3 linked regions of the Coturnix japonica genome follow. The protein of the gene in region 2 interacts with the protein of the main gene of each other region in a pairwise test. Links are inferred from orthologs where the notes say so. Each region holds a gene or a part of one and is shown on either strand. Other genes may lie near its edges.

Evidence for each region.
Region 1: the proteins of LZTS2 (region 2) and NEK6 interact in binary tests that used the Homo sapiens proteins (3 or more experiments, as listed by UniProt). The two-hybrid records come from large-scale screens. The link is inferred for Coturnix japonica from reciprocal best matches to the Homo sapiens genes LZTS2 and NEK6.
Region 3: the proteins of LZTS2 (region 2) and HOXB9 interact in binary tests that used the Homo sapiens proteins (3 or more experiments, as listed by UniProt). The two-hybrid records come from large-scale screens. The link is inferred for Coturnix japonica from reciprocal best matches to the Homo sapiens genes LZTS2 and HOXB9.

The regions. Positions count from the first base shown.
Region 1 is NC_029532.1:7,814,183-7,818,533, reverse strand, and holds the start of NEK6 (serine/threonine-protein kinase Nek6), read right to left. Parts: upstream 2,817-4,351; 5' UTR 2,802-2,816; coding exon 2,648-2,801; intron 1-2,647. UniProt on the Homo sapiens protein: Protein kinase which plays an important role in mitotic cell cycle progression. Required for chromosome segregation at metaphase-anaphase transition, robust mitotic spindle formation and cytokinesis.
Region 2 is NC_029521.1:20,199,703-20,204,071, forward strand, and holds the start of LZTS2 (leucine zipper putative tumor suppressor 2), read right to left. Parts: upstream 2,840-4,369; 5' UTR 2,620-2,839; intron 2,531-2,619; exon of another isoform or gene 2,438-2,530; intron 1,883-2,437; 5' UTR 1,844-1,882; coding exon 1,412-1,843; intron 1,022-1,411; coding exon 452-1,021; intron 252-451; coding exon 1-251. Other genes in the region: TWNK (twinkle protein, mitochondrial), read right to left, coding at 3,722-3,982, 4,222-4,363. UniProt on the Homo sapiens protein: Negative regulator of katanin-mediated microtubule severing and release from the centrosome. Required for central spindle formation and the completion of cytokinesis.
Region 3 is NC_029542.1:3,139,036-3,143,316, reverse strand, and holds the start of HOXB9 (homeobox protein Hox-B9), read right to left. Parts: upstream 2,817-4,281; 5' UTR 2,664-2,816; coding exon 2,156-2,663; intron 1-2,155. UniProt on the Homo sapiens protein: Sequence-specific transcription factor which is part of a developmental regulatory system that provides cells with specific positional identities on the anterior-posterior axis.

The DNA of each region.
Region 1 (4,351 bases), on a different chromosome or scaffold from region 2:
ATATTAATATCACCCAGTTACACAACTTTATATTAGGCGTAGTAACATCATCCATAACCAAAGGGCTAAGATACTATCTAAAAAATGTCATTCATTCTGAATGACAAAACCTCTGAAGGACAAACCACAGCAGGCAGGAAATGGCTTTCTCCATCTGTGGAAACAGGGAAGCTTCAAGCAGCAGAGCCCGGCTCTGGTGCCGTGAGTAACAAAGCATCGACTATCAGACACAACTAACAGTTGTGCTTCAAACTAAAACTGTCGATAGTTTTAAGTCCTAAGGACACTGCACTGCGTTTTTTTAAATCAAACTGCACATGAGTGACATTTAACAGATGATGTTTTTGAAGCCTTTCAGAAGGTTATCTTCATCCAACTCACATGAATGCAAGTTACAAGTGGTCCCACTATGGAAACAACATCTAAGAACAAAAATACTGAAGTACTCTTATACATTTACATATTCCTAGTTTTAGAGGTAGTGTGGAAACCAAAGCACAATCATCAGTGAGAACTGCACCCGTGGTTCCAAGCCCCCCAAGGCCGAGGTGATGGAAGCACCCATCCCCTGCCTGCAGAGCAGCACTGAGCCTCCCACACTGGGACGGTGCTTATCCTGACAGCGCTGTGTTAAGATTTCATGCTGACTTTTTGTTGAGATCCTACTCCGGACAGCCTTAGTGGGCAGTAACGGGGTGCTGGCCTCCTGAACACCCCAAGCCCACCAAGAATGCTGCAGCAAAATGGCTGAGAAGACCTACAGCTTCTTCATGTCAACAACTGATATTCATTAAACAAATGCCATGACAGACACTGTAATTCACTGTTCTATACCTAGAAGCAAAATGACATTAAGTCAACAAACTTTACGCTACCCAGAGCTTATTCCCAATTGTGGTAACATTATCTTTTCAAGTACTCTCTAGTCTAGTTCAGGGACAAATCTATAGTGCAAGTTCAAAGTACTCTCCAAGCATTCTCTGCATCAAAATCCCCCTTTTTCCATCCATACCATACACCTGAAGAGGGTACTTGAGCTGATAAGTCTGACAGGAAGGTTTTCATGCTATTACTTTCATTAACTGCCACCACCAAGCAGGCAGGCAGCTACCAGCTTGCTTCCAGTTTTGGTTCAGCATCTCCCACGTCTCCATCCTGCCTCCCTTCACACTCAGCTCCTCGATGCAGCAGCATCCACTCCAGCTTAGAGGGCTATGATGTGGATGAGCTCTGCATGCTGTCCCCTATGGCTCCAAACACAGCAACAACCACGGATCAATTTCCTTCTCCCTTTTATTTGATTGATCCTTGCTGCTGCACTATTTTTTTGCAAACCCTCTTCATGTGGCACACAACACACAATAGGTTTAATGTGAGATATTTGCTGTTTGTGCCATTTTTTTGGTCACCTCCTCAGAACTCGGCCCCAGACCAGGAGATAGAATTGTTTCTAAAAGTCTTCTGAACCTAAACACACTTGAAACACTACTTAGCTCCATCCATTCATTACAAGGGATGGCTTCACAGGGCTCCCAAGAGACCAATGCCAGGGATACTCAGAGATTTATGGCTATGAATAAAGAATTACTTGGACAGTGAGATAAATGTTCCCCTCCACCAGCCCTAGCACTTCCTTCCCTGCACAGAACTTCCTACTGTGCCACCACCACCCATACATATTTGTGTACACCGTTCCTACTGTGGGCAGATAAATACCAAATGCATATTCACATACAACATTGAGTATGGACAGCAGGCAGCTGCGTTTAAAGTGAAAAACAGTTCCTCTGAAGACAGGTAATACAGTAATTACTGACCAACAAGAACGGGCTGCTTTTCTCCAGCCAGCACTCAGATATGCTGTGAAGCCAAGGCAAGGCTACATAATTCATACTCTTCTTCGTGCAATTCAGAGCCTCTTGAAAGCACTGGGCTGCCCAAGGAGACTGTGGATGCCCCATCCCTGCAGGCATTCAAAGCCAGGCTGGATGTGGCTCTGGGCAGCCTGGTCTGGTGGTTGGTGACCCTGCACATAGCAGGGGGTTGAAGCAAGGTGATCGTTGTGGTCCTTTTCAACCCAGGCCATTCTATGATTCTATGGTTTCACAGTCTTTGAAACAGCTGAGACAGACCTTGCAGGCTGCTACTAGCATTAAGGAAACATGCTGAAAACAAACACATACTCAATCTACCTGGAATTTTACCATGGTGCTTACTAAGCATGCAACAACATGCTTATCTTCTAACTCATAATGCAATAGAGCTTTCAAGCCTGAAGCCAAATTATTTAAGAACATTTACGTTATCCTCCTCAGAACTCATTCATTTCCAATGAAGGAAAGATTAAATATGAGCTAGAAATATATTTATATTGTATCTGTTCCCTGCCAGACACTGCCACATCTCTCCACCTGCCTGCAGTAACCTCATGCGTGGCCATGGGGGGTGCTCTGTGCTGCAGTCCGTGCAGCCAGCACACCTGGATCTCATGCAAAGGAACCCAGGGGATTTTTTTATATATACATATATGCACATCCAACTTCAAAACATCAGGACAACAGCTTGAAGTATTTACATTCCTCATAATCAAAAGTCACAGGAAATGATGCTGAGGACCACGCAGCCCAGCCGATCTGAAGATTCATACCATTCGAATCCAAAGGCAACTTCAAAGCCACCTCGTAAAGGCTGCGTGCTGCAGACACAGCAGCCAGATGCTGCAGGAGCTTCCCGGTATCCGGACCTTGCAGGAGCAGCCAAACGGAAGCAGAAACTCTTCCCAGGGTAAAAAGGTTTAACATCTTTCTACTTACAAAAACATCTACATCAGAAACAGGTTTGGATCCTTCCTCCACTAAATACGGTAAGGACAACTGTATTAGCATCTATACTAGTACAGTGGTGTCTTTCCCTACACATTCCTGAAGATCTGGAACTGACAGCAGCCACTCTTCTATGTGTAACCTGCTCTTGGCTCCATCTCCCCAGGGCACAGACACAGCTCCTGGATCAGCGCTGCACATCGCGGCTGCGGGGCAGAACAAGAAGATCTGTTCTTCGGGAAGTCTGCACAGCTCCTTTGATTCCTTATTCTGCTGACAGACAGGGTTAATGAAGTTCTTGCAGAGAACTCTCCCTTTCCTGGGCTAAATGCCCAAATTCTTTCAGGATTCACAAGACTGTCTATTTAAATTGGGTCCAATTTTTCTTGCTGCAGAGGCCTGCACAGAATGTTCTGACGAGAAGCTGGGAATCAACCTTTTGAGAAACTCGTAACTGAACGCACGAGCTCCGTGCAACACACAGAAACCATTCAGTGCCACATTCCGCTCTGTGCGTAATGACTCTGTTATGTTAATAAGTGACAATGCTGGAGCATGAACCCAGCAGTACCAGCACATCATTTAAACCCACGGGCAAGCATGTAAGCGCAGGTAAACACAAACCCATCCTCCATGTGCTTCCATCACATGCTTTGGGGAAAGGAGGGGATCCACCTTGCACCTGCAGCTGTTTCTTGTGAGTGGTGGATGGGGACCAATAGGGGCCGGGGCTTTTCCCAGTGCCAGGAAACCTTCTGCCCAGAGCCATAAGAAACAGAGCTGCTGCCCAGGCACAACCCTCTGTACTTCCCAGAGCACAAGTACCAGCCTGTGTAAGGCATTCGCTCGAGAGGTTCCATTATGCAGTCATACATACAGATCTTTCTATAATACAACACATCCAATGCCTTTATTACATCTCCTATACAAATTAAAACCACTCTGCCTGCAATTTTAGATGTAAGTTCTGTAAATTTTAAGGAATTTTAAGTGCACGCAGATATGCAGAGGGCCTTCAACAAGGCTGAGGCTCCCAGCAGCAGCCTTGGCCACATCCTGTTCTGCAGCTCTTCCCAACAGGAGAGAGGGGACTGAAGCTGCTGCCCATGGACAACAGCTCCCAGCTGCCCACAGCTCAGTACAGCTGCTCACGGCTCACAGACCGAGTGACAGCAACACTACTGCTCTGTCTTAAACCCAGTTTTGTTTTGTTGTAGAACCAAACAGAAAACAACATGTTACATACACCGTTTTCAAACCACAAAGTTATCTCAGACACGTTACACAAGAGTAAGAATTTCAGTGTGCAGCCTGATTCAAGCTAGCCTTAGATATGGCAGCTCAGCAAAGCTGGGCTCCTAAACCTTAGTGGAGTTTCTAATTAACTCGATTAACCCACGCTGCTAACTCCTCAAGCACAGCCTCGCAAACCAGTGTTTTCAGTCCTTCAACATCGTGCTTGCAAGAGGACTTCATAAATCAATGGAGCTGAACCGAGGTTAAACAAATGCACATGCAGCATGCACAGC
Region 2 (4,369 bases):
AGCCGTGGCCCCAGCTCAGTGTGCTCCCGCTGGAAGGATGCGCAGCGACGCTCCAGCAGCTCCCGCTCCTGCAGCAGCTGAGCAAAGTCCTCCTGCAGTTGCTTCTTCTCCTGCTGCAGCTGCAGCACCTGGAGCTGCAGGACCTGCTGCCCACGCTGCGCCTGCTGGGCCGCCTGTCGCACCTGGGCCGCACAGCGCTGCCGCAAACCCTCCAGCTCCTGCTCACAGCGACGCTGCTTCTCTTCATACACCTGGGCACAGGCACACGCTGAGATGGGACATCCCACATCCCACACCACCTCCATGTCTCCCCAAGTCAGCATCTACAATCTCCATGGGGTTCCCCAGACACATCACTGCATGCATAACCCAAATCTACACAATAGGACTATATGGGCACCCCCAGCCCTGAGAGCTCCCCTGGTTCTCCTTACCCTTATATGGTTCTTACCTGGCAGATGGCCACCTCATTCTCATCCAGGCTGTCCCGCAGCTGCTGCAGCTCGGCCTCCCTCTCCCGCAGCTTGTCCTCCAGTTCACGCACCAGCAGAACCTCCTCACCAGGCAGCGGCGAGCGCCCGCAGGAGCCACTCTCGGAGGAGGGCCGGCCCCGGCCACTCAGCGAGCCCGTGCTTTTGCTGGAGGATGAGCGCCCACTGTCCGAGTTGGAGGGGCCGGCTGGTGGGCGGTAGCCACCTGGGGGCTCAGGGTGGCTGTGAGGGGTGGCTGTGAGGTTGCCAGGCTCAGTATGTTGGCTGCAGCCTGTGCTGTAGGTGGGCAGGCTGGACAGAGAGTTGCGTCCCGAGTCTGAGAGCGTGCCTGAGTGGCTGCTGGTGCGGCAGCTCAGTGAGCCAGGCTTGTCGGCCCCGGTGGTCCCCAGCAGGTGGGTGAGGCTCACCTGGCTCTCTGATAATGCTGCAGCCCCTGGACGTACCCCTTGGCTGGCCGGGCCCGGAGCAGCCCTGACTTTGGGTACCACCGGTTTGAATGCCATAGGGCGGATCAGGGTCTTCTCCACATTCTGCAAGGCAAAAGAGGAGAGAGTGGGATCTGGGGACCAGGTACACTCCAGAGGTGGCCTGGCAGATGCTGGGGATGCTGCCAGAGCACCAGGGAGGACTTGGTAACCCCACCAATTCTGCTCCCACCCAACACCTCAGAGTGTCACAGCTCTATAGAAGATGACCACTAGGTGCCCTCTGCTCCATGCAGCAGTTTCAGACAGGCTCCCACACACACATGGCCACTCCTGACATGAGGAAGAGGGCAGCAGGAGCACAGAGATCACCACCACCCCCAGCGACATGGACCATGTGCTCTCTCTATGCATGCACCAGCACGTCTCCCCAAGCCCAGCAGCCCCAGTGCAGCACAGGGCTGAGCAGATCCCCCAGCACTGCTTCCACCTTACCTCTTCTAGCTTGCCAGAGACAGGGACAAGCTTGGGGGGCGGCCCCCGGATGCCACCACTTGGGGCTTGTTCATCCCGTGCCTCGTCTGAGTCGCTGCAGGGGCTGACGGGAGAGGCTGCCTCCAGCCACTCCCCATGAAAAACTTCATTGGTGTAGGCATGGGCAGTGGCTGAGCACGGCTTCTTGGGGGGCAAAGTGTGGAGCAGGGGATCCGGGGGGCTGGCTCGCAGCAGCGTATCCTGCACACGGAAGGAACCACCAGCACCAGCAGGCTGGCAGGAGCGATCGTGGCATGGTCGGCTGGCAATCAGGCTGCCCACACTGCCCATGGTGCCGTGGGTGGGCAGGGGGGAGCGGGTGGCAGTGCGGAGCTGGGCAGCAGCCTCAGGCGTGGCCTCGATGGAAACTGGCAGTGTCTGCACAATGGCCATGGCAGGGGGGCCCCCAGCGGGCAGGGGGGCGCAGGCAGCCTGTAAAAGAAAGGCAACGTGAGGCCTTAAGCAATAAACTCACTCACTCATCCCATAGGACACCAATGAATATAGGACCCCCATAATGGCGCAGGCAGATGTGGGATGGCTGCAAGAGATATGCCGGGCATGAGCAGGCGTCGAGCAGAACAGCATAAAGCTGGGATTAGCCGGAGCAGGGGGAGGCACGGGGCATGCAGGGGGCTCACGCAGCACCAGTGCTCCCGTGCAGGGCCCAAAGGAAGAGCCCCACAGGGGCAGCCCCATGCACTCAGCAGGGTCCCCACTGCGTAGCAGTCACGGTGCCTTCTCTGCCCCACTGCTCCCGGTCCTGCACCCCTGCTCTGCCCCACAGCGCTGCCTACACTGCCATACCTCAGCTCCAGCCTCAGAGAGACGCCCCAAACACCTCATCCTGAAGCATCCTCCTCCCCAACCCCCCCAACCCCGGCACCAACATCACCCCGCTCCCCAATCCCGTCCCTACACCCCTCTCTCCCACAGCTCACGGTCCCCACTCCGCCCCCTCCCCCCGCCCTGGAGCTCCACACCGACGCGTCCCCCCGGGCCGAGCCGGACCCACCCGGGCCGGGCCGCCCCATGATGCGCTCGGGCCGCCGCGCTCCGCCCGCCGCGCTGGCACCGCCCCGGGGCCGCCCCCCGCTTCCACCGCCCCCAGCATCACCCCGGGGTGACGCCGGGCCCCCTCTCCCGTTGCGGGTCGCCCCGCTTCTCACCTGGCCGGCCGCGGCCCATCCGTCCGGCGGGTCCCGGCCCGACTCCGCCGCCCCCTGAGCCGGGAAAAGGAAGAGAGAGCGGGGTCAGGGCCGCCCCCCCCCGTCCCTCCTCTCCGTAGCGCCCCACTGTGTCCCCGCGGGTCCCACCGGCCCGTTCCGGCCCAGGCCCGGCCGCCCTCGCTCACGCTCCGCTCCGCACCGCCGCTCTCCGCCGGCCCGGCCCGCGCCAGGCCCCGCCCGCCCCGCCGCCCCCGGCCCCCGGCCCCGCGGCGGATGGGAGGCGGCAGGGGGTTGCCCTACGGCCGGGCCGCGGGGCAGCGACGGCAGCGAAGGGCCCTCAGGGGGCGGCAGGGCCTCAGCCCGCACCACGGCCCCGCAGGCAGCACGGGGGGGGCTGCGTCCCGCTCACCTCCACATCCCCGTCCTCCGCCATGGGCCCGGCTCCCGGCGCGGCGGCCAATGCCTCCTCCCGGCCCCACGCGTGGGAGCCGTGGGGCGCGGTGGCGGGGAGGTGCCCGGTGCTGGGTCAGCGCTGGGGCGGGAGGTGTGTGTGTGCGTGGGGCCATGGGGCCCCGCTGTGCCGTCCTGCCCCACGCACAGCATGGACACGGGGCTGAATGGGACCCAAAGTTGGAGGGATGGGGGATGGGAGCACGGGGACGCTCATGCAGCGAAGGACAAACAGCTTGAACAGCTCTGCTTTAATAAAAGTGTAAAGAAAACAGAGGGATGGGCCAAAAGCCCACGGCGGGCTCCCCTGTGCTGGGGAGGACTGGCTCAGACACAGTGTTTTGCCATGAGAGGCTCCGAGGCGCCCAGGGCTGTGTCCCTGAGGCATTGCTGCTACTGCTGCTGGTGGTACATGTGGCCAGAGGGGCCGGGCTCAGAGCCGGCAGAGCTGCACTAGCACCACACCGTGCGGGAGGTAAACCTGGGCCATCAGCCTCCACTTAGCAACCCTATATTGACCTGCTCAGGGTACAGAGACCCCAAAGCCTGCACATCCACTCCTCTCCCATCTCCCAGCATCGTGCTCTGCTCAGGAGGAGCGCAGCCGCACGGCACCTGGTGTGCCCGAGTACCAAGGTTGTCCCTGCCACACTCAGGGCTTGCCAGAGCCACCCACACCTCCTCCATTGGGACCCTTCTTGGGTGAAGGCGCCTTCTCCTCCTTCACCTTCTTCAGCTTGGCCTTGCTTTTGCCGTAGGAGGAGAAGGTGAGCGAGGCCTTGTTGAATTCCAGCGGGAAGACGCCTACATCGCCATCAAAGCGGTTCTTGGACACCTGCAGGTAGCGCTTCCCGGGACCCGTCGTGAGCTTGCGGTCCTGCAGGATGAGGACGTTGTCGGCCTCCTGGCTGGCCTGGGGGAGGAGAACATCTCCAGGGGGTGCTGCAGGGCACGGGGCACCCCCACACCCAGCGTCCTCCCTGCTACCCCACGGAGCAACTCATGCCACATCCCACCCACAGCTGATGAGCATCAATCAGCCGCGTGCCACCAGATGGCAGGGGACACCCAGCCCCACTGCAGCACAGTTTGGGTCACGGCGACGTGCCAATGTCCCCACCCTGTCCCCGCCTGAGGCCCAGGAGGAGCCACCTTGGCAGAGCCGAAGATGGAGGCGGTCTGCAGCTCCTTCTCGTCGTCCTCCTTGCGCGGGTGGATGACCAGCGTGATGTGGCACGTGTTGTCGGTGGCAAACTTGCGGAAGGCGCCGACGATGAAGTCCTGTGCTGCCAACCTGCAG
Region 3 (4,281 bases), on a different chromosome or scaffold from region 2:
AATGTAATTGACTCGATCTAATATGCAGAATTAAATATTAAAGAGGAAGAAAGCTGTTAATAATTGATACTGTTAATCCTGCTACCCATCTTTTAATGGCAACGGAGGGCTCTGCTTCATAACGCATTTTTATTTGGTCGGGTTTTATTTTCTTTTATTTTTTCGGTCGCATCTCGGATCGTTAAAATCGGAGGCATTTGAAACGCGGGTATTTTATTTACTGACTGTATACACCCTCCTGAATGGGCGAGCAAATGAGGGGAGGCTCTGGCACATGGTTTCCTGCAAACCTAGCAAATAAATTCACAGATCCCGGTGCCATAACCGGCCTAGAGATTCATTATTGTGAAATACTTTCAAAAAATTGAAAGAGTCAGGGAAATGGGTGGGAGTGCTCGCTGCAAAACAGCTCCGTCTCCCAGCCCTGGCAGCCTCTCCACATTAGCCCAAATTAAACTATTATTTAAAACAAAATATGCGTCGTAACCACACGCCATAGAGAAACCACACTGCATCCTCTTAGCTCTGGTCCCTGCGCTTACTTAGGACTTAATAACATTTTCTTGGACGAGGCTTTTCTATATTGAATTTCAGGGACATTGAGCACAGAACCTGGATATTTCATTCTCTCCGACCATTCACCTCCCGCTTGCAGTTTGTTCTGGATCTCTGCCCAGCACAATAGAACAGGACTTTCTTTTTGTGTGTGTGTGAGTGTGTGTGTGAGTGAGTGTGCACGGTGCAAGCCAAACGATAGGGGAAAAAAAGAATGCCCCCGCACCATCGTGCACACGGAGGGGGGAATACACCGCGTTTTCAGTACTGTTGCTCCTACACTTGGGTGAGGGGTTGAGGAGGGGGAAGGGGGGGTTGAGATGGGGTGGAAAAACCAAAATGAAGTTAATTCACGGAATGACTGTGCCAGGGTGTCCTGCACACGCTCCGCACGCTGTACCTTTAGCGGGGGCTTTCTCTGCCCTCTCCAACCCAACACTCCGCAACAACTTCGCCTTTCATTGCTCAAACATTCGCCGCGATATTGGAGCCAAATTTCTCCCTCTCAGCCCTTTCACCTCCCAGATGGACCCCGGGTACCAACCGAACCGGTGCGGGGTGAAGACCCCCCATTCTTACACACTCAAACTCTCTTGCGTCATTTTAATAACAACAACAACGCGTATTACAAGCAGCACTAACCATAATCTTATTAAACACATCAAAACGATTCTTCATTCTGCGTTTTAGGGCTAATAAAAGAGAAACCAGGTCACTAAAAAGGCACAGGCTGAAGTTTAGCTGTTCTCCAATCTGGCTACGTTACAAATAAAGAGCTAATTAAGCTGGAAGCACTCCCCCCTCTCTCTCTTTTTAACTCAACTCGGAGGGAGTTTGGAAATAGTGATATTTCGGCTTTGGAACAGTCAGACCCTGAAGTGAGGCACGAATATACGAGTAATTGGAAACAGAAAGAAGCGGAGGCGTGCAAAAAAAAAAAGAATAAAATAAAATAATAATAAAAGAAGAATAAAAACAAAAGAAAAGGGAAAAAGGAAACCAAGCAAAACGCTCACGACAAATACACCCACGGCAGCAAAAAAACAACAAACCCCGAGGTGAAGGGGAGCCCCGAGCCTTCAATCTGCCGGCGCAGCGCAGCTCAGCGGGCACGGAAAAGCCCCCGCCGCTGTTTACTTCCCCCCCACGTGAACTTTTCCTCCTCGATTTTCCCTTTCCCTTCTCTCCCCCGACCTCCGCTCTCCTCTCCCGGCCCTTCTCCCCGCGTTTCCCCGCACTCTCCCCCCCCTCCAGTCCCTCGGTTCTCTCCACCCGCAGCCCCGCACTCCCTCACTCCCTCTTACAGCAATGATCTCCGCTGCCGGAGTCAGCGTTCTGTAGGAAGGAGGACGGCTCGATCCAGCTTTTGTCCTCTCTGGACTCTGTTTTGGTCGGAGACGACTCTCGTTTTAATATTTATTTGTATTTCCCCCCAGAAACAATGCCACCCCTCTCCCCTCCCCACCTCTCCCCTTAGGTTGGCATCAGCCATCTGAGAGTTTTCTTTAAGCCCTGATTTTAAACTTTACGCAGCATTGTCCCCTTTTATTGCACCTCCTCCAGCTTTTATACTGTTTACTTCCTCACTTTTATAACTTACTTTGATCTGTTCTGTCTTTGTCTTCGCTTCCTTCACAAACTTTATTGTCCTCGAAGCTGGGCCTTTGATTGGAAACGATCCCTTCCCTTGCAGCAGAAGTTTCTAAATTGTACTCCTGTGTTCCCTGTTTATGGACATCCCCGGGACGGCCCAGCAGCGGCTCAGCCTTAACAGATCCCTGCCCGGGGAGGGTCTCTGCTCTGGGCACTGGATCCAGCCAGCTCCGTAGATACCTGCTATCAGATGGGACGCTTTGATGTTGAATATATGGATGGTAGACGGCAGGAAGGGTACCAGAAGAATGTGGATTCAAAGGAGTCCAGGAGGCGCTGAAAACAGGAGGTTTTGGCTGAAAACTACAAGAGGGGAATTCTAGATGTTCATTGTGCCCAGCTTGCCTGGAACTCGTATATTGCCCAGATGAAAATTTAGCTGAAGGCGAGTCTTCACTTTCATGACTTATAATAGAGTCGACATAGTAATTGCTAAGAGTCCCAGAAATGGACATTCTCAGACATCATACAAAGCACGGTTCAATGAAGGGAAAAAAAAAATATATAGGACAGATCTAGATTTGTACTCTACCCCCTTCTCGAACTTCCTAGCCAACAAAGTACAGTTGGGCTGCTGTGTTGTGAGCTCCCAGCAAAATGATTGGTCAAACTTTTTTCGTGTGCCTGATAAAGCGTCAGTCTCGGCGTAAATCAATCGAAGCCGAGGGGGCTGCGCTGCGCTGTCATCCGCCCTTGCATTCCATATCAAGGATGGATTGTTTTATGTTTATGCAATGTTGCAAAACGTCAGGAGTTTAGAAAAGCCACGAAACGGGCAGAGCTGGGGCTGATATCTCCCTACGTAGATTTTGCTGTTGTTATGGAGGGGGGGGGGGTCCGGGAGGGGGTCCGGGTTTCTTTTCTTTTCCTTGTTTTTTAATGAAAGATGCTGATGTATTCACTTCGCCTTTAATAACCACCATGGGGGAATGGGAGATAAAAGCTATTCTTTGCCACTCGGGCTCCAGAGTACGATAGCAAAAAACAAAAACCAAAAGGCAGAAAATACATAGAAATCAACCCCCCCTACCCCCCCATCCCCCCCTCCCTCCGACCCGCACCCCAGTGGTTTCGTATACACACATACTCGTGTGTGCATTACACGACATGCACACGATGCGCATACAGATGCGTTTTGGGAAGGAAAAGCGAGAGTCGTGGGAGGGTGTTGTAAATAACAAACCCTCTGGCATCGGAAAATGGATGCTAACGTGGTACGATCATGGGGGCAAATATGAAATTTCAAATGTGAGTGGCATATGCGTGACATTACGGCTCGGAGCAGCGAGCTGCAGACACGATCCCCCCCCTTCCTCCCTGCTCCCCCTCCCCATGCCCTCGGCTGAGTGCTTCTATCCGTATCGCATCCAAAAACCGCTCCGTGTATGAATTCATCTTCACGTGTTTTGCGGCATAATGTCGGGGTTGCTTTGCTGGAGCCGAACCAGCGTGATTCACCACGTCGCTGGAATCAGAAACCTTCATTGAACTTTACAAGCCCGGTGAAATACCGAGCGCCACTGACTCTGCTTTGTTGCGGAGTGCCTCCGACTTGCGACGGTTAAAGAGTTTAATAAAACTTACATTAGCTTTCTTGGATTTTTATAGTCCTGAATTTATTGCCTGTGGAAAAAGAAAGGGGGGGAAAAAAAAGGGATCCCTCGCCTTTCCAGTCACGGTGTTCCCCCCCCCGCACACCTCGCTTATAGCACCGCTTGTATGTGTGCGTGCCGCCTCCCCTCCACCCCCCCGCCGCCCTCTCCCCGACGGCGTTATCGGCGATCCGACTCATTTCGGCTTAATTTTAATTAGAATTATAATTTTTATTTCTCTTTTTTCCAGCCCTGGAAGCGATGATTGACGCGCGGCTCCGGTTTGGTGCGGGTCCCGCCCGGCGGTGCGGGGTAACAGGGTCAGTTTTTCCCGACTTATTATGATAAATGCGTTTATTGCGAGATGATCTGATGGCGTCGTAAATGTTGGTTAAGGAAAAGGTGCGCGGTGTGATTAGGGCAAAAGTGTTTTCTGGACTTCAGCTGTAACAGTCTGGATCAATTCGCCTCCTTTAATCTA